Tamandua tetradactyla: one gene and its partner. The protein of the gene in region 1 binds, or shares a complex with, the protein of each later gene. Links are inferred from orthologs where the notes say so. Each region holds a gene or a part of one and is shown on either strand. Other genes may lie near its edges.

Region 1 (10,867 bases):
AGAGGCGTTCCTGCTGGAAGCGTGGGCCCCTTACCTTCAGCACAGCCTCCAACTCGCGCGTGAACCCACAATAAGAACACCTACGTGGCTGGGACTGATGATTAATGTAAAGTTTTAAATTAGGTGGAATGACATTTTGGAAGATAAAAGCCTCCCCTGGGGCTGAGCTGTGGAGGCTTGAAGTGGAATCAGGCTGTCTACACACCCGGCTGCAGAAGGTTGGGGAGCGGTGCTTTTGGCAGTTCACGGGGTGCACTGCACCCCCTCCCCATTCTGAATCTACAAATTAGAAACTCATCAGGCCTTCTGAGGTGGGTGCACGTTCTTTTCCCGGCCCAGAATCCATTCTCCCTCCTCCTTGCAAACGCCCTAATTTCCCCCTACTAAAAGGAACATAGAGCCTTTATGCTACATAAAGCAGTGGTATATTAACTCTTGCTTTTGCTGTCACTACAAAAATAAATATATATTTATATACATATATATATATTTAAATTTTACATTTGCTTTTTTTTTTGAAAAATTACTATTTACTTGAAGAAAACTTTGAATTTAGGGAAGAAGTAACAATAACTGGTATACATATCAATTTAAAATTTTTCACTAAGCCTCGAGTAGAACAGTCCCCCATCTTTCTACCAAGAACCCCTTATTTTGCAAGATCTGTTAAAACTTATTTAATCAGTTCAGGTTTTTATCAAGAATTCTAAAGCTGCCAATCAGAACTCCTAATAAGCATGAGATAACCAGGTTAACAAACTTGAAATGATATGTAATGTGAGTAAAAACTTTAAAAACCTTTAACTTATTTATACATTCTAATGAGGAGATATGTTCAGTTTTTCTAGCATCAAAAATAAGTGAGCAGGTATTGTTAACCTTTGCCAGGGGTTTATTGGCCTCAGGCTGGGAATCACAGGTGTACATGCCAAACACTGTACGTACACACCCACACAAATGAGAACTAAGGATTAAGTATAACAGTCAAAAAACATATGGGCCCTGTATATTTAAAGGGGAATAATGAGTACTTGTCGTGGGTTTCAGAGCAGGGAGCAGAGAAACAAATCACTAAACCATGAGGAGAACCAAACAAGGGTGGAATAAAGTTAAAAAGCATAGTTGCTTTATTTTTTAAGTTCTTAGAGTTTTTAATAAAAACAATGCATGCTTAGTTTTAAAACTTCAAACTGTACAAAAGGGTATTCAGTGAAAAGCCAGTCTCCTTGACCCTCCAACTCCTAGAGACAACCTCCATGGCCATTTTTATTAATATCTTTCCAGAAATAGTCTATGCAAATATAAGCATATCTCTAAATTGATAGCCCCCATTTTCATAAAAATGATAACATGCTAGACGCATTGTTCTCCACCTTGCTTTTTTTCTTTATTAAACTATTTGAGATCATTGTCAATGGTGAGAAATAATATAGAGAGATATGAGTAACCCTTACCCAGTTTCCACCAATGGAACATCTTGCAAAACTATAATGCAGTATCACAATCAGGATATCGGCGTTGATACAATCGATCCACCTGATTCAGGTTTCCCGAGTTTTACCTGTACTCATTTATACATATTAAGTTCTAGACAATTTTATCCTGGGTGTTGGCTCATGTATCCACTACCACAGACAAGCTACAGAAGAGTTCCGCCCCCACAAGCATCCCCTGTATTGCCTGTTTATAACCACATCCACCTCCCACCTGCCTCCCGTCCGCCATCCGGAACTCCTGGCAAGCACTAATCTGTTCTCCATTTGTAAAATTTTATCTTTTCAAAAATGTTATATAAATGGAGACAGTATATTTTGGGATTGGCGGTTTTCCTTTCAGCATAATTTCCTGAAGATTCGGCCAAGTTGTGTGTATCAATAGGCCGTTCCTCTTAATGGCTGAGTGGTATTCCATGGTACAGATGTACCGTAGTTTGTTTAACCAATCATCCGTTGGAGGACATCTGGGTTGTCTGCAGTTTGGGGCCATTATGAATAAAGCTGCTATGAACATTCATGGACAAGTTTTTGTGTGAACATAAATTTTCATTTCTTTGGGATAGACGCCCAAGAGTGCAATCGCTACGTCATTAGTGATTGTGTGTTTTAGTTTTGTAAGAAACTCCCAAACTGTTTTCCAATGTTGCTATACCATTTTTCATTCCCGCCAGCAATGTATGAATCATCCAGTTTCTTTGCATCCTCATCAGCATTTGAGGTGCCATTATTCTTTTCTGCAAATAGAAGGGTTTATTTTTCTTTCCAATCTGTATGCCTTTCATTTCTTTTTCTTTCCGTCATGCAGTGGTTTTTTTTTAAAACATATGAATATAACTTGGAGATCATTTCATATAGTCACATGGATCTACCTCATTTTTTAAATGAATTTGCAATATTCCAATAGTAAAATTGCCATAATTTATTTACCAGTGTCCTATTAATAGTTATTTAGTTGATTCTAACCTTTTCTTTTATTAGGAACAATGCGTCAGTTGAAGTCCTTGTACATATCCTTCCAAACATTTGCAGGGTATTGTAGAAAAAAATCTAGAAATAGAATTGCCAGATCAATGAGTATGTTCATATTACATTCTGATAGTGCTGAATTGCCCTCCAAAGAGGTTGAACCAATATAGTCCCATCCAACCGAGTGTCTTCATAAATTTAAAATCTTTGCCAACCTGATAGGTGAAAAAAAAGGAAAATTTTTTGTTGGATTTACTTAATTTGAAGATGAAGAGTTTAAATTTTGCTTAAAATGAAATCAAAAGGTTACTTCCTAAACATAGATGGGTACTGTATTATCTTTCCATATATTAGGGGTATATAATATTACTATTTTGTTTTCAATTCAACCCAGTTCTCAAGGCTCTATTTTTAAAACAACGTGGGGTTCAGTACATATTTCTTTCATGCTTTAGTGGGGCATTTAAGCAAGCAGTCACCAAATACCAGTATATGCCAATGAATAAAGGCATTATTCCTGCCTCTGGGGAGCCTGTGGTCTAGTAGGGGAGTTATAGTAATTTCACTGTAATGCAGTAAGCATTAAGATAGCAGACTAGAACAGATGTTAGAGTACAGAGAGAAAAGAAACTTAGCTCAATCTGGAGCTGAGAGGTGGAGGAGGACTAAACGTTAGCGAGGTGAAGAGAAAAGGAAAAGACAGTCCAGGGAGAGGGAACATCACAGGCAAAGACATTGAGACATGAACAAACTGTGATCTTGGGAAACTGTACTGTAGAGTAACTATGAGGAAGTGTCAGAGAAATGAAGACGGAAATCTGATCATGGAAGACTCGTATGACATACCAAGGAGTATAGAATTTATTCTGTAACCAATGGCGAGCCAGTTGGGTTTTAGGCTGAGGCGTAACAAGATCGGTCTTTGGGGTAGGAAGATGGCAATAAGACTAGTACAATGGAACTTTGGGACAAGGAGATAGTGAAGGCAGAGAGACCAGTTAGGAGGCACGTTAACTGTATGGGTGATCTTTTGACTGATTGGATACAGGGAGGTGAGAAAGGAAGCAATGGTGAATTATTCCCATGTTTCTGAATTGGATAATGATTGCAATGTACATTTATTTATTGTACCCAGCTGCTCCCTTCCTAAAAGCACCCAGATTGTTACTCAGGAAAACACCCTCAACCTCCCCCGTTGTGCAGCCCATATGCTTTAGGGAAGTTGACCTCAGTCCTACCTTAGAGGTGGGCCTTGACAGACTTACATTAATTAGCACATTCCATTGCCCTGGCTATACTTCTTGGTCCAGGAATGAGCATGTGATCTAAACCTGCCAATCAGGGTGAATGTCAGAACTCTAGTTTGGAATGCTGGGACCCAAATGGGAAGCACAGGATGAAAACAAGGAAGCTTGTTGCCCTGACATAATTGGCAATCATCTTGAGATCTCAGAGGAATGAGCCATAGATGGGAGCTCATTCTGTGCAGAAAAAAGAGAGCTGGATTCCCAATGACAAGCTTGGGTTGCTGGATCAACCAACTGTGAAGCCCTGGACTGTCCAGTTATGGGAGCCTAGAAATCCCCTTGTCTTTTGAGTCAATTTGAATTGGATTTTCTTACGTGCCATATAAAGATACAAGTAACTAGATGGATGATGGGGTCATTAAACAGTATATACAAGGAAAAAGGAGAGCGTGCATTGAAAAGAGAGATGTTTCATCCTGAACTTTCAGAGTTCTAAATCTTTGCACCAAGTTGATCCCTGAGCTGGAAATGTTCCCCTCTTTACATTTGTGGGCCTGCTAAGAAAGTCCTACTCATGTCCTAGGGCCCTGTTCTGGCCTTTCTCCCTCTGTAAAGACTTCATAAACCCATCTTCTCGTCCTGGTCAGAATTCACCACACCTTCTCAGAATTTACCACTTCTCAGAATTCACCACTCCTTCTTCTGAGCTTCTATAACATTTTGGATATGGTTCTCTCAAAGCTTTTATCATATCATACTACTCTTTCCTCCATTGGACACTGAGCTCCTTAACAGTCCAGAACAGTTCATCATCTTCTTTGTATCCACATCTGCAGGGCATCAAATAGCATCTGAACAATCTGATGAGGAAATGACAGCCATTCTTCTGCATTTTCTCCCCAAACTAATTAATCTGCCCACTTTCCCTCTTGAACAGAGAGAAACTCTAGCTATCAGATCATGGATTAAATACATAATAAATTACCAGAAAGGGATGAAAATATAAGGTTGGTAGAAAAGGATATTTTTATGGACCTGGAACACAGAAAAAGAAAAGTTGGATTAAATTACCTCTATTATAATGATGTGATAGCTGCTCCTTTGCCAAGTTGTGAGGGTGAAACACACATACAAAATTTTTCTGAATATATAAAGCTGGGTTTACAATTTCTGCTAGTATTGCTGAAGACTGTGGGAAGAATCTAAACTTGGCACTACCCACACATAAGGTCACATTGTGCCCATCAATTTATTTTGATCTCAAGGAAGGCGTTTTGGAGCAGTGCTCAAGAAATAGCTCAACCAAAAGAACATTTACATTATATAAAAATGAACTCCAGTAATTCAAATTTATTAACCTTACTTAGTACAGTGATTTCAAAATAGAGAAAAACCTCTAATAATTTGAACTGAAAAGATAGAAATTCTACCTGAATTTTTGCAGGAAATAGTTGAATTGTAGAATAATGTTGTATTACCTCCAAGTACATTTAGTAATTTGGATTAGGGAGAGAGGCAGGTATAGCCAAGTCTATATCAGTAATGATAGAATGATTGCTAGTTGACAGATATTCATTGAATGCCTGCTACATGCCAGGTATTGAGGTACTGAGGATACAGTGGTGAACAAACGTGTGAATCATGATGATAAGAAGGAATGTTTATTCAGACCTAACTATGGTCCAGACCCTGAGCTAAGTGTTCTGTCTTCATTGGCTCATTCACTCACTACATACTCTGTGAGCTACCGTCATTATCCCATTTTATAGATTCAGAAACTAAGTTTCTGGGAGGTAAGCAACTCATCCAAGGTCATAAAATCCATTAAAGTGGTGGAAATTGGACTCTTACAGGCTTGTAAGGTTCTAGAAGTAACACTGTAATTGAAATGCTTCATAGGTAGGGAACTAGGCCATTTCAAATCTTGCTAACTCCGTTTGCTTAAGCATTCTATTTTTACAGTTTTGTAAAGGTAAAATTCGATACAGTCCTACCAAAACTTCAACAAAATATAAATCTAAATTAGTGGAGCCCAACCATTGAGTTTTCATCTTGATACTAACAACTCGAGCTTATAGATCTAGAGAATATGTGCATTTAACCTGTACCTTGGCAAAACTGTTTACCACTTTAATTCAGTTTTTCAGGGATTCATTTGCCCACTACCCTTTGTGACTGTTACAGTATCTGCATACCATCTGTACTATTATTTACTTAAAGTTGATTCATTATTTTTGTTTAATGTTTTAAAGGAAATTTAATATCACTAGTATAAATAAAGAGCCATTTATTCATTGAACACAGATTTATTAAGTGCCTAACATGCGCTTTGCAGTGGGGAGATAACAGTGAAAAATAGCAGACTAAAGAGATGAAAAGCCACAAAAGGAGAATGCCAGCTGGTGGTAAGGTGACTGTGAGGTAATGAAATAGACTCAAGACATTTGTGAGCCATATGCAGTCCAGCTTCACCCCTCCTCCCACCTCACCCATACTCCCACCAAAATCCTACAAATACCTCATAATCTAGTCCAAATATTTATCTGGGGGGTAGTTCTGGGGTCTCTCTCTCTCTCTTTTTTTACATTTTTATTTCAAGTACCAAGACTAACAAAGATGCACAGTAAAAAACTGCAACAAATGGGTCAGAATTAATCAGGCCTGGGGTGGAGGGCACAGCGATGCTTTATTGTTTTTTTCTTTTAATCCCCCAAAAGTTTTGCAAAGTACTTTTAATTTTATATACAAGTCTAAAGGACCGAATAAACATAAGCCAGTTTAAATGCATACTGAAGCGTCTATGGGCATTTACAGCTTCTTTATAACACTCCCACATTGATCTGCCCTCGAAAGGAGATCAACTTCCGGCGGATCCACCCACCGGGAGCCTCCGCCTGTAACTCTGGACCTAGTCGCCAGGTTTTATCGATTGCTTTTGCCTGGGCAATGTGCCCAACCCAGCAGACTGGCCTGGATCGGCTGCTTCGGTCTGGCCCCACCCAGAGCGCGGGAAAGAGCAGTTTTTCAAGCCGGCCCGGGGCTGCGGCTATCGCCATACTCTTAACAAAGCCAAGCAGCCCCCGCCTTTCACACGCCCGACCACCTAAGGCCTTCCGAGTCACGCGAGTGGAAGTAAAGAAGCCGAAGCCGGCGCCATGTCGGAGGCTTATTTCCCGGTGGAGTCGGGTGCGCTGGGGCCTGAGGAGAACTTTCTTTCCCTAGACGACATTCTCACGTCCCACGAAAAACTCCCGGTGCGCACGGAGACCGCCTTGCCTCGCCTCGGCGCCTTCTTGGAGCGGAGCGGAGGCCCCGAGACTCACAACGCGATCCCTCAGGTAAATCCTTCGCTATTGCTTCCCACCCGTAAAGACTACATGCAACTCCTGGCGGACACCGCGTCGCCCGGCGGGGCCCACGGCGTCCTCTGGGATTTGTAGTTTCCGGGGCAGGACGGGCCATGCCCTGCAATGAGTTCTCCCCTCCTGTCTCCTGGCGCCTAAGCAGAGGTGTCTTGGCCTGGCGCTTGCCACCTAGGCGGAAACTAAACTGAACGTAGGTTTTCTGACTGCTGCAACATTGATTTCATTTTTGAAATTGTCCAAATTCAGCAATCTTTTCCCCCCACATTGAGGTGAATGCTGAGAATAGGCTGGTACTGAATACTTCAGGAGATCAGGGTTGCAATCTCGTTTACCTTAAAACAGAGCTTTGGGTAAGAGCATGTGCTAGATCTGGAAACCACAAATTTTAGATTCACTCCTGCATAATGGTGATGGTGTCAAAAACCATTACCTGAGGATTTAGTGCCAGTAAGGATGGGGGTGAGGGAGGTAACCTTTTCCATCTATTACCCCTTTAAACTTTCAGCAGTCTGTAGATATTGTTACGAACGAGGACCCTGGAAAGGTTGAGTAACATGTCTGGGCCCACAGTTTTTGGCCATTCGAACCTAGGCCTGTAAGACTTGAAATCCAAATTCTTTCTAGGAAAGCATGGCCTATAATGGCCGTGATTGGTTTCCTCTTTGACCTGAGTTTCATTTGGAGGGTTGTTCTGTTTGGTCTGTTTTTAGTTCTTCTTTTTTGTATGCTGTGTGGTGGGGCCACGTTTCATTCTTTTTCCATGTGACTATCCCATTATTGAAGTACATTTGTTGAGTTTTCTTTTGGGGGAAGTGGGTTGGGGGGAAGGGCACAGCCAGAATCATACCCAGTTCTCCCACATGGCAGATTGGAATTCTACCACTGAACTACCTTGCACCCTGTTTTGAGTTAATTTTTATCAAAATATTACATACACAAAGTTTTGTTTGTTAACACAGATGCTGAGCTGGATTCAAAGGATGTATGTCCCCTAGAAAAGCCATATTTTAATCTGAATCCCATTTCATAAAGGCACAGTAGTCCTTATTCAACACTGTATGTTTGAAATTGTAATCAGATCATCCCCCTGAAGATGTGATTTAATCAAGAGTGGTTGTTAAGCTGGATTGGGTGACGACTTGTCTCAACCCATTTGGGTGGGTCTTGATAGGTTTCTGGAATCCTGTAAGAGAGGAAACATTTTGGAGAATGAGAGGTTCAGAGAGAACAGAGCAGAATGACATAGCCATGAGAAGCAGAGTCCACCAGGCAGCGACCCTTGGAGATGAAGGAAAATGTCTCCCCGGGAGCATCATGACACAGGAAGCCAGGAGAAGCAGCTAGCAGATGATGCCGTGTTCACCATGTGCCCTTCCAGATGAGAGAGGAACACTGACCTTGTTCACCATGTACTTTCTCACTTGAGAGAGAAACCCTGAACTTCATCAGCCTTCTTGAACCAAGGTGTCTTTCCCTGGATGCTTTTGATTGGACATTTCTATAGACTTGTTGTAATTGGGACATTTTCTTGACCTTAGAATGGTAAACTAGCAACTTATTAATTCCCCTTAATAAAAGCCATTCCATTTCTGGTATATTGCATCCCTGCAGCTAGCAAACTAGAACAGATGCTTTAATATTTTTACAGGTGTCATGAGTTTATTTTTTTTTATTAATTAAAAAAAGAATTAACAAAACAATTAGAAATCATTCCAATCTACATGTACAATCAGTAATTCTTAATAACATCACATAGTTGCATATTCATCATTTCTTAGTACATTTGCATCGATTTAGAAAAAGAAATAAAAAGACAACAGAATAAGAATTAAAACAATAATAGAAAGAAAAAAAACAAAAAAAACAAAAACAAAAAACCTATACCTCACATGCAGCTTCATTCAGTGTTTTAACATAATTGCATTACAATTGGGTAGTATTGTGCTGTCCATTTCTGAGTTTTTATATCCAGTCCCGTTGTACAGTCTGTATCCCTTCATCTCCAATTATCCCTTCTCTTTTTTTTTTTTTTTTTAATTAACGGAAAAAAAGAAATTAACCCAACATTTAGAGATCATACCATTCTACACATGCAATCATTAATTCTTAACATCATCACATAGATGCATGATCATCATTTCTTAGTACATTTGCATTGGTTTAGAAGAACTAGCAACATAACCGAAAAAGATATAGAATGTTAATATAGAGAAAAAAATAAAAGTAATAATAGTAAAATCAAAACAAAACAACACAAAACAAAACAAAAACCTATAGCTCAGATGCAGCTTCATTCAGTGTTTTAACATGATTACTTTACAATTAGGTATTATTGTGCTGTCCATTTTTGAGTTTTTGTATCTAGTCCTGTTGCACAGTCTGTATCCCTTCAGCTTCAATTACCCATTGTCTTACCCTGTTTCTAACTCCTGCTGAACTCTGTTACCAATGACATATTTCAAGTTTATTCTCGAATGTCCGTTCACATCAGTGGGACCATACAGTATTTGTCCTTTAGTTTTTGGCTGGATTCACTCAGCATAATATTCTCTAGGTCCATCCATGTTATTACATGGTTCATAAGTTTATCTTCTCTTAAGGCTGCATAATATTCCATCGTATGTATATACCACAGTTTGTTTAGCCACTCTTCTGTTGATGGAGATTTTGGCTGTTTCCATCTCTTTGCAATTGTAAATAATGCTGCTATAAACATTGGTGTGCAAATGTCCGTTTGTGTCTTTGCCCTTAAGTCCTTTGAGTAGATACCTAGCAATGGTATTGCTGGGTCGTATGGCAGTTCTATATTCAGCTTTTTGAGGAACCGCCAAACTGCCTTCCACAGTGGTTGCACCCTTTGACATTCCCACCAACAGTGGATAAGTGTGCCTCTTTCTCCGCATCCTCTCCAGCACTTGTCATTTTCTGTTTTGTTGATAATGGCCATTCTGGTGGGTGTGAGATGATATCTCATTGTGGTTTTGATTTGCATTTCTCTAATGGCCAGGGACATTGAGCATCTCTTCATGTGCCTCTTGGCCATCCGTATTTCCTCTTCTGAGAGGTGTCTGTTCAAGTCTTTTTCCCATTTTGTAATTGGGTTGGCTGTCTTTTTGTTGTTGAGATGAACAATCTCTTTATAAATTCTGGATACTAGACCTTTATCTGATATATCATTTCCAAATATTGTCTCCCATTGTGAAGGCTGTCTTTCTACTTTCTTGATGAAGTTCTTTGATGCACAAAAGTGTTTAATTTTGAGGAGTTCCCATTTATTTATTTCCTTCTTCAGTGCTCTTGCTTTAGGTTTAAGGTCCATAAAACCGCCTCCAGTTGTAAGATCCATAAGATATCTCCCGACATTTTCCTCTAACTGTTTTATGGTCTTAGACCTAATGTTTAGATCTTTGATCCATTTTGAGTTAACTTTTGTATAGGGTGTGAGAGATGGGTCTTCTTTCATTCTTTTGCATATGGATATCCAGTTCTCTAGGCACCATTTATTGAAGAGACTGCTCTGTCCCAGGTGAGTTGGCTTGACTGCCTTATCAAAGATCAAATGTCCATAGATGAGAGGGTCTATATCTGAGCACTCTATTCGATTCCATTGGTCGATATATCTATCTTTATGCCAATACCATGCTGTTTTGACCACTGTGGCTTCATAATATGCCTTAAAGTCAGGCAGCGCGAGACCTCCAGCTTCGTTTTTTTTCCTCAAGATGTTTTTAGCAATTCGGGGCACCCTGCCCTTCCAGATAAATTTGCTTATTGGTTTTTCTATTTCTGAAAA
Region 2 (10,311 bases), about 28 Mb from region 1:
AAATGCTTCACTGCCCTCAGGATGGAGTCCAAGTCCCTGGAAGTGGCTTAGGACAGCCAGGTCCTTGCTTCTTTCCTTGCCCTTGGAGCCCCACACTCAACTACGATGATAATAGCTCGGAGGGCTCTTGTGAGAAAGAAATACCATTATTACTAGGAGTAGGAGCTCCCCCCTTTTAGGGGCTTCACCTGCACCCATCCCTGTTAGCCTCACAGAGGCCCTGGGACACGGAGGTGTCCTGACAAGGTGTGGGCACAAGCCATTGGACCAACGCTGCCCACAACACCAGCCTGGGGTGTTGCCCACCGAGACCAGCCCTGCAGAAGGTCGTGGCAGCACCCCCACTTTAACGCAGGGACACCGAGGGCAGGCCAGTGGCCAAGTCCCCCAGCAGCCGGCCCTCCCGCAACACGCGTGCACCTGAGACACGGGAGGGACTCCGGTTTGGAAGGTAACAATTTCTAGTTCTCAAGGCCCTATCCTGTGCCACCTGTTTGAGCAGAGGCAAGAGAAGGCATCTATAGACTGATACCCGGAGGAGGTGTTTTCCATTCTGTTTCTTTCTTTTTTCTTTTTGTTGCTGGGACCATATCTCTAGCCCCTTCCTTCTCTTGGTGACCATGCCAGGAGCTGCTAGTCATTGCTTTCCCCTACAATAGGGTCCTGAGAGACAAAGGGGAGAGGTTCAGCTTAGTTATGCCCGAACCCCAGCTCTTAACCTTGGCTAGGAAGCTCTGAAAGATGCAGATGCCCAGGCCCCAACCCCAGCACTTCTGCTTCATCTGGTGCAGGGTGCGGCCTGGGCATCCGGAACTCTCTTCCCATGCACAGCCAGGCCTGAGAACCTCTCTTCTGTTCCCGACCTCATCGTGTCTTCCCTGCTGTTCATCATTTCCCTGGCCCCAGGTGGGGGGCACCCAGTCCTTAGGGTAGAGTCACCATTGAACTAACACAGTCCTCGTGGGGTTTCCCAAACCTGCTCAACCCAGAACGCCGTGTGGGTTGGCTTTGGTGGGCTGTCCTCGCGCAGGTGGCTTCGGTTCCCACACGTGGCTGGTGGCCCCTGTCCTGGGCAGGGCAGCCACAGAGCCCGCCCCCGCCCCACCCTCACCGCTGCTGCCTGAAATCCCACTGCTTTAAAAGAAGGTGTCTGCGTTGATGGCGGATTTGGAGAATTCTGCTAAATTCTGAGTCGACCAAAAGATATTGCAGCGCCGACTACTCCAGAGGCAGAGACATGTTCACCGCTAGGGGAGGGAACGATCATTGCTGTGAGTTTCAGGTGTCCCGGGGAGTCAACAGGGTGGCACATTTTATTTTAGAATAAGCTTAGATTTCCAGAAAAGTTGCAAAGATAGTATAAGGGGCTCCCACCTCCCCCACACCGAGTGTGCCCTGTTAATAATACCTTATGTTATGCTACAATTATGGTACGTTGGTCAAAACAAATGAATCTTCATGCCACTGAATTGTATATGTGCGAATAGTTAAAATAGGAAATTTTAGTTGGTTTGCGTGTTACTGCAATTAAAAAACCTCTAATAAGCCAACATTGACATGTTATTGTTAACTAAGGCCATAAATTTATTCAGATGTCCTTAGTTTCTATCTAATGTCCTTTTTCTGTCCCGGGATCCCACGTGACCTTCAGTCATCCTGTCTCTGCAGGCTCCTGTTGGCTGGGACAGGCTCTCCGACATGGTCAGGTTTCGTCACTGTCAGGTCACTCTATGCTCTCCTCCCTTTCCACACCCCTTGGAAGGAAGTCACCAAGGGCAGCCGCACCTTAGGAGTGGGGCTGGAGTTCCACCTTCTGCAGGGCAGAGCGTCTGTGAAAATTCTTTGGAATTCTTCTGTACCAGAGAGTCATCGTTTATTTGTTTATAACAGAATGGACTCAGGAGCCTTTATTTGATACTTTGATGATTACTCTCTGATAATACTTTATTTATTTTGTTGCTCAAATTGAGTTTGGCTTTGTCCATTGGGAGCTTTCAGTTTGGCTCCTGTATCTCTCTGACATGTCCCATCACACACACACACACATATACTTCCTTACTTCCTGGCATTACAAGATGTTCTAGGTTCATCTCATGTGTTTTCTGCCCCAGTCCTGGAATCAGCCATTGCTTCAGGATCCCTGTTTTTTTTTTTCAGGATTGTATTTAGAAACCAAGATCTGGGTGCTGGTGTGCTCTTTGCTCCTGGGCTGTCATGATTTCCAGGCCTTCTCAGCTGCTGACCAAAAAAATAGACGTGTGTACACTAACCTGTCTGTGTACACACACCTACAAACATTTCTCTGTGCAACCATCTGCATCTCTATTAAGCTACAGTGAGCTCATATTGATGTTGCCAGCTCTAATCCGTTACCACCTGGATACTTCTAGGGGAAACGCTTTTTTAGAACACAAAATAGTGGTGAGACCTGACCACCGCATCTAAAGTAGCCCCCCCACACACACCATTCTCCACCCCTACTCTGCTTTAGTTTTTTTCAGGCACTTACACCTTCTCTGTTAAATGTCTGGTCCTCTCACTCAGACCACGTATGGGGCAGACACCCAGTAATTCAGAAGGCCTCTCAAGCCTGGGCCCCGCCGAGTAAGTCAGAGTTGGAGTGCAAATTACTGGGGAAAATTACTTTGCTTCCCAGTTTTCCCAATTATTGAAACCTTCAAAGAGCTTGCGTGTGTGGTTTCCCTGACCCACTGCAGATCCCCAGGTCAGAAAGTCTGAGCCTGGCTCTTAGGAACTGTTTGACTGAGGAATAATTCACATATAAAAAATTCACCCTTTGAAAGTGCACAAGTCGCTGGTTTTTAGTATATTACCAGATTTATACAACCATTAGTACTATCCAAATTCCAGAACAATTTTCAAGGTTCATCCATGTCGTAGCATGTATCAGAACTTCAATCCTTTCTATGGCAAATGGTATCACCTTGTACGGATATAGTACATTTGCTTATCTGTTATCAATTGATGGACACGTGGGTTGTTTCTACCTTTTGACTATTCCAAGTCATGCTACTATGAAAGGAGGGACATTTAATAAGTCCCCAGGTGCTTCTGACATACACTAGAATTTGGGACATCAACGCCCCATCATTTTGCAGCCTCTAAAGCAATGTCGTACCCACACAATCTCTTTTTTGTTTTCCCAACAGCCAGGTAAGACAAGTAGCAGCATTGTCCCCATTTTACCAATAAGGAAACTGAGGCTCAGAGAAGATGAGTGACTTGGAGAGCTGGACCCAGACCACTGACACTGGGCTCTCCAGTTCTCCTACCCACCCCTCAGCTGGCCTCTCTGATCCTCGGCTGGCCTCTCTGATCCTCGGCTGGCCCACCAGCTATTCTCCTTTGCTCTTTTACAGTCTGTGAGAATCAGGGAAGGAAGCCTCGCCAACTTTGGAACGCAAATATTGCCAGTCAAGAAAATATCCACCCGTCAATCAGAACCCAGACACTTTGGCAGACACTGTCTGGCAGATGCCTGAGGGAATTATCTATTTCGGGATGGGTCAGGTGGCCCATAGACTCCCCTCCTCCCTGAACATCTCAGGGCCCCTTCTCTTCCTACCTCATTTTGCAGATGAAGAAACTGAGATTCAGAGCAGTTACCTGCCCTTGTTCACACTGCATTCAGTGTGACCTTTTATTTCTTTTCTTTGAAAATATTTGTCTTAATAAATAGATTTAATGAAGGCAACATACAGGATAACTCTCACTGTCTGTAAAGGACAGCTTTCCATGCAGATGCATAGCACGTGGAGCTTTCAAGGACATGTGAGTGGGTGGAGCTTGTTATAGTTGATTTTCCTTCCAGCAACCCCACGTGGGGCACGATTCAAGGGGCTGGGAGAGGAGGCACAGGGATGGGTGGGGTGAGGCAGCTTTCCCGTGGGGAGACAGAAGCCTGGAATCCTGGTATGGCCTATGTTTTCTCTCAGGGCCTAATGGGCCGAGCTCAAGTTCAAGTCCAGTTCCCTGTCCATCCCTCCAAGGCCTTCTAGAGGAATGGCTTCACCTCCTAAGTCTTATCGCTGAGGTGATTTCACCCCACACCTATTAAAAGTCAGCTGTAGGAGAGGTGCGAGGGTAGTTCAGTAGCAGAATTCTTGACTGCCATGTGGGAGACCTGGGGTTGATTCCCGACCCATGCACTTCCCAAAAATAAACAAACAACAAAAACAAACAAAAATTCAACAAATGGTGCTACAATAATGGGATACTCACATGGAAAAAGAATGAAATGTGACCCCACCATATAGCATACAAAAAAAAAAGTCAGTTGTTTCCCCTCCAGACCCCTGAATTAAAATGCCCCAGGGAGAGGGCCCCAGAAATGTGCATACCTACACACAGTCTTATGGTGAGCAGGGAACCATTCCTATTATATGTTTCACCTACGCCTGTGTGTCATGGGAATCCCATACAACAAATAGTGAACAAATCAAGAGATATTTGCAAAGACTGTGCAAGCTTGCCCCTTCCTCAGTCACACCAGGTGAGACTTGAAAAGACAAATTAGGAGCCTCTTTCCCTGCAATCTCTGCACGAGAAAGTCTGGGCAGCCAGAAAGAATCGTCATTTTTATAGATTTTTAAGTAATCTGCAGAGAGAAGGGAGAAGATTCTGAGATTAAAGGGAACAAGTCCTTCTCACCGTCCACTGCGGGAGCAGTCAAAGTGCTTGCCTGGATCCAGCCATGTCCGGGCACCTGGTACTGAGTTTGGCCCACAAACGCATTTTCTCCCGGCCTGGTGCGGATTTTTTGTTTAGTTTCTGTCTGATTTTTTTTTTCTTTTTTAATTAGAGCAGCTTCAAACTACCATGTAGGTTTACAGAAAAATAATGTGGAAAGCACAGAGTCCTCATTTATGACTCCCCTCACACACAGCTTTCTCTATTACTGACATTTTGTACTTGTATGGTACCTTTGTTACAACTGATGAAACACTATTATGATTATACTAGTAAATACAGGTCACGGTTCACGTTAGGGATCACTGTGTTGTCCACTCCTATGGGTTTGGACTCGGGGTGCTGGCGGGCAGGCGCCAGGTGCAGGACTTTGAGGCCAAGAGGCCCCGCAGCGCGGCGCGGGCGGGAGCAGGAGCCCGCAGCCTCAGGTGCGCCGGGCGGCGGCGCCAGGTGCGCAGGTGGGAAGCGCCAGGTGCGCCGCCACGGGCGCCCCCCCCCCCCCCCCCCCGGGCCCGAGCCCGAGCCCGAGCCCGACGCGAGGGGGCGGGGTCGGCCCGGAGCCTCGCTCGGGAGCGCCAATCGCCGAGCTCGTAACAACTGCGCTCTCCGTCTTCCGTGGAGAGCGCCGCGTTCCTATAGGCCGGCCGCGGCTCTCTTCCGGGCGAGGGGGGCGGGTCCGCGTCGTGGCGGGAAAGCGGCGGCCGTGGCGTCTTCCCGGGAAAGCTGAGGTCTTCACGGAGGCGGAGAGCCCCACGCCGGCCGTCATGGAGGCGGCCGAGGTAGAGTTTCTGGCCGAGAAGGAGCTGGTCACCATCATCCCTAACTTCAGCCTGGACAAGATCTACCTTATTGGGGTAAGGCGTCCGGGCTGGGGCAGGTGGCGACCCCCAGGGCAGACCCCAGCCCAGAGGCGCCCAGGCCCTGGGCAGCCGCGCGGTCTGTTCGACGACACCCGGGGAGCCTCTGGGCTGGGGCCCCCACCGGGCCGCTCGGGCCTCCGCCGCGCCTCCCGCCTCTGCCTGGGGGTCGCCCGGCGTGTAGCCGGCTGGGCAGAGGTGAGGTGCCCCGGGCACGCCTGCGCCTGTGGCCGTGTCTAAGCGAGGGCAGCCCTGGGGGACCGTCCCCACTGACTTTGGGGCTTGCCGGACTTTGCCGCACCTCGTCAGAATCGCCCTGGCCCTGGTTAAAATTCAGCTTTCTGCCTCCACTCCAGACTCTCTCGTCAGAGTGTCCGTGGATTGGAGTTGGGAACAGTTCAGCTCTGTTCCCATTTTTCAGAGCAGAAAATCAAGGCTTAAAGATGAAATCCTATGCCAAGCTTACCCAGTCAGTAGAGTTTGCGTTTTATGTAGGGGAAAGTTCCAGGGCCTGAGGCCTTTATCAGAGGACAAAGGTCAAGGGCTATAAATGCACAGAGTTTCTTCCCCCTAACCCCAAGGAGACTGAAATTCTCTTCATTAAATATTGCTCCAGGGCGGGCCACGGTGGCTCAGCAGGTAAGAATGCTTGCCTGCCATGCCCCAGCTTCTTTTCCCGGTGCCTGCCCATGTGAAGAAAAAAAAAAAATTGCTCTGGAAACTGGAGGATGTAGGCAGAAACGAAGGAAGAGAGTCAAGGCTTTAAGTGCTCACAGGTTGAACTAAGTACTTCTTGGTGTCATCAGATGGGTGCTGTGTCTGCACCACTTGGGAAGCCCAGGGCTCAGGTGATACTTGCCTGAGAGGTCCTGGTCAGTATATGACAGCAGATGATGTCCAGAAGATACATAAACCACAGCACCACATGTTTGGGGATGCTTAACGGCAAAAGTAATGATGGGTCTGTAATGACAGTTGGTTTTAATTTTTACTTGGAATTCAGTTTGCACAGGGCTGTTGGTCTCATCTGATAGCGATGAGGTACAATGATGTTTTTTGTTTCTGATCTTATGGGGGCTTGTTTTTAACTTTGGCAGGGGGATCTGGGGCCTTTTAACCCTGGTTTACCAGTAGAAGTGCCTCTTTGGTTGGCAGTTAACCTGAAACAAAGACAGAAGTGTCGCTTAATACCTCCTGGCTGGATGGATGTAGGTAAGGAGAGGTGGTGACCTGTAATTTGGGTGGGGCTGGATGGGGGATGACACAGGCTGCAGATGGGTGGGGGCATGGGGCAGCCTTCCTGGTTTGCTTAGTGCTCCCCTACTCACCTGTTCTCCGATCAGCTGAAATTCATACTTCCAGATTTATCTCTTAGTGGGTTCTGCTAACCACTGTTTCTAAATTTATTTTGGTTTTGGTGTATATGAAAATTTTAGTTTAGATTTTTATTTTAGATGTTTCAGCTTGCTTCAAAATTTAAAATATTACATGGTCTTAAAGGAGCATTTGTTTTAATTTTTTTAAATAAATAAGTATAGACTAGAGTTTGCAGGAGCAGAGTTATTTTACATTATACAGAATGCCTAAAAAGAATGCATCATCCTACAATGGAGTATTATTTACCATAAAATGGAACGAAGCACTGATACATGCTGCAACATGGATGAACCTTGAAAACATTATGCTAAGCCACAGAAGCCAGACTGTTGATGTTTTCTTTTGTGTGAACTGTCCAGCATGGGCAAATCCATAGAGATAAGGAGGTTAGTGGCTGCCTCGGGATGGAGTAATGAGGGGTGGTTGGAGTCTAGGTATATTTGTACAGCTGAGTTTGCTGAAGGATTGACTGTGAGGTGAGAGAAGAGAGTAGAGAATGACTGCCAGGGCTGTTGATTGGAGCTGCAGAAGGAGATGCGCTGGAGTGGGGCCCTGGAGTAGGTTTGATCCTATTATACTTGAGGTATATATGAGACTTGTTGGGTCATTGAGTGGAAACGATGTTGGCAGTGGGATACTTGTCAGGAGTTGGGGGTGCTGAGCTGGGTGGGGATTGAGACTTGGAAGTCATTATCATAAGCACATGGGTGGTATTCAAGCGAGGCAGGTGAGGACATCTGGGGTGTGAATTTAGATGGCAAAGAAGAAACCCAGGAACTGAGCTCTTTGATTGGGTTGAGGGCTTGGGAGCATGAGAAGCAATCAGCAAGAGACACAGGGAGTGGCCAGCAAGGTTGAAAGAGATCCCAGGGAGGCAGTGCTGCCCCCAGAAGTGAGGCAATACAGACCCAAAGAAGGAGAAGGGTGGCATTTGTCAAATGCTGAGACCAATAATGAGCCACTGGGTTTAATGGAGTGGAGGTCATTGACCTTGGTGACCTGTTTTGGTGCAAAAGTTGGGATAAACACTAATTTGAGTGGTGTAGAGCAAGTGGGAGAAGAGGTTAATGTAAACATAAGACAACTCTTAAAGTTTTGTTTCTAAAAGGCCTGAGAAATGGTAGGTAACTGGAGAAGGATTTAGTGCCAGGGTTTTCTTAGTAAGATGGGAGCTCTCACAGTGTGTTTGTAATGATCAAGTAGCAAGGGAAAAATGAGGATTGTCAGGTGAGAGTTACTGTAGTGATGTTTGTGGGTAAGGGGAGTCTTACACCCTCTGCAGGGAGGTTGGGAGATGGGGTGGGCACAGATGTTCTCTCTCGATCGCTTTTCTTTCCTCAGCAAAATAGGAGGTAACGATGAGAGTTGGGCTGTGGGGTGAGGAAGCATTGGTGATGTGAGGAGATGGCATGGAGTGGTTGGATAGAAGATAAAAGCAAGAGGATGCATGGACCAGGGAAACTAAGAGGATTGTAGGTGACCAACCGGGGATGTTGTCAGTAATTTAAAGTGAGACCCAACAGTTTTGTCTTTCTGTCCATCCATCCATTTCCCTTACCCACATTCAGCAGTCCAGTTCCAGAGTTGGGGTTTCTTCAGGCCCATGAGGAAGAGGGAGGAAGGGAGGAAGGCCGAGGGAGCTGTGGACATGTGCAGCAGTGGTGGAGCGGTGGGTGGGATTGGACTCTTCTGCACGTCCAGACACTGGGATTAAACAACTACATTATATATTCAGCCCCCAATCCTGGGTGTCTGTAATTTGTAAATTTTGTCTTGTTCTCTTCTGAACAAGGCTTAGTACAAATAAATTTCTCTAATCACTGGCTACTTTTTTTTCCTTTTAAAATTTTTATTGTGGTAACGTATACATATATAAGCACAAAAGTTCCCATTTTAACTAGTTTCATGTTACAACTCAGTGACATTAACTACATTCACAATGTTGCGCAACCATTACCACCATCCATTACCACAATTTTCCCATCACCCCAAGCAGAAACACTGAACACATTAAGCAGTAAACTCCCCATTCTCCCCTGCTTCCAGGCCCTAGGAACCTCTGACCTATGTCTGTCTCTGCAGATTTGCTTATTCTAGTAATTTCATAGAAATGGAATCGTACAACATTTGTCCTTTCGTGTCTGGCTTATTTTACTCAATATGATTTTGCAAGGTTCATCCATGTTGGTACATGATTAAATGTGAATAATGTTCCAGTCCACTGTGGGTGCGAACCACATTTTGTCTATCTATTCATCTGTTGATGGGCACTTGGTATGGTGGTTTGGAGCTATAAGTACCCCAGAAATACATGCTCTTAAACTTTATTCCTATGGGTGTGGATTCATTGTAAGTAGGACCTTTTGATGAGATTACTTCAGTTCAGGTGTGACCCACTTCAGTCAGACTGGGTCTTAATTCTATTACTGGAGTCTTTATAGGCAAAATGAAATTGAGAAAGAAAAAGCTGTGGGAAGTAAGAATCTGAAAGTTAATGGAAACTGGAATTGAAGAGAGACACCAAGAGAAGCCACCATGTGCCTTGCCATGTGACAGAGGACCAAGGATTGCCAGCAGCCAGCCCCAGAATGCCAGTCTTCGGAAAGAAAGCATAGCCTTGATGAGGCCTGGATTTGGGTTTTTTTCCTAGCCTCAAACTGTGAGCTAATGAATTCCCATTGCTTAAGCCAACCTATTGCATGGTATTAAATTGAGCAGCCAAGGAAACTAAAACACTTGGGTTGTTTCCATCTTTTGGCTATTGTGAATAGTGCTTCTATGAACATTGGCCTGCAAGATAACTTTTTCCCTTGATGAGTGAAAATCCTCATGGTTTTTGGCCTCTTCATGCCCACAGTTTCTCCAGATAACATTCTGTAATTTTCTTCTGCCTCAGATAACTTGTTAAGTTATGGGACCAGATAATACAGTGATGAGATAGAATTGCTGGTGGGGCCTGGGAAGGTTTCAGTTGCAAGCTTCTGTATCTTCTTCACATGGAGTTAGAACGTGTTATCTTCCCAAAACATCAATGTGTATTATCAATCATGGAAGTTGCTGGAGTGTCAGCGTCATAGTCCATTCTTAGGTAAAGGTAACCAGGGACAAAGGATAGCAATATACAGTTCTCAGGCCTTGAAAATGTCCAAGTTAAGGCATCAACAGGATGATACCTGGACTCTGAAGACAGGCTGCTGGCATCCGGGACATGTCTATCACATGGGAAGGCACATGGCTGGTATCTGCTGGTGATTTGCTCCTGATTTTGTTGTTTTCAGCTTGTGGTTTCAGTAGCTTCCTCTCTGTTTTCTATGGGTGTTTTCTTAGCTTCTCCAGAGCTTTTAGTCGCTGGCTACTTTTATCACCT

Evidence for each region.
Region 2: the proteins of GINS3 (region 1) and GINS2 are in contact, whole or in part, in a crystal structure (PDB 2E9X), measured with the Homo sapiens proteins. The link is inferred for Tamandua tetradactyla from reciprocal best matches to the Homo sapiens genes GINS3 and GINS2. Residues at the interface, in NP_073607.2 of Homo sapiens: Leu13, Gly14, Tyr117, Ser121, Leu124, Asn131, Ala132, Ser135, Gln136, Leu138, Leu139, Gln140, Phe142, Ile143, Phe146, Arg147, Ile149, Met150, Asp151, Ser153, Gln154, Ala156, Met171, Gly174, Leu175, Thr178, Gly179, Gly182, Leu183, Asp185; in NP_057179.1 of Homo sapiens: Asp2, Ala3, Ala4, Glu7, Met93, Glu94, Lys97, Asn101, Trp121, Ile125, Arg129, Val130, Ala132, Asp133, Val136, Arg137, Gln139, Met151, Thr155, Ser156, Thr158, Phe159, Leu160, Gln162, Ala163, His166, Met167, Lys169, Leu170, Arg171.

The regions. Positions count from the first base shown.
Region 1 is NC_135342.1:52,015,141-52,026,007, forward strand, and holds the start of GINS3 (DNA replication complex GINS protein PSF3), read left to right. Parts: upstream 1-6,655; 5' UTR 6,656-6,864; coding exon 6,865-7,047; intron 7,048-10,867. UniProt on the Homo sapiens protein: Required for correct functioning of the GINS complex, a complex that plays an essential role in the initiation of DNA replication, and progression of DNA replication forks.
Region 2 is NC_135342.1:80,207,550-80,217,860, reverse strand, and holds the start of GINS2 (DNA replication complex GINS protein PSF2), read left to right. Parts: upstream 1-5,366; 5' UTR 5,367-5,474; coding exon 5,475-5,564; intron 5,565-6,664; coding exon 6,665-6,779; intron 6,780-10,311. UniProt on the Homo sapiens protein: Required for correct functioning of the GINS complex, a complex that plays an essential role in the initiation of DNA replication, and progression of DNA replication forks.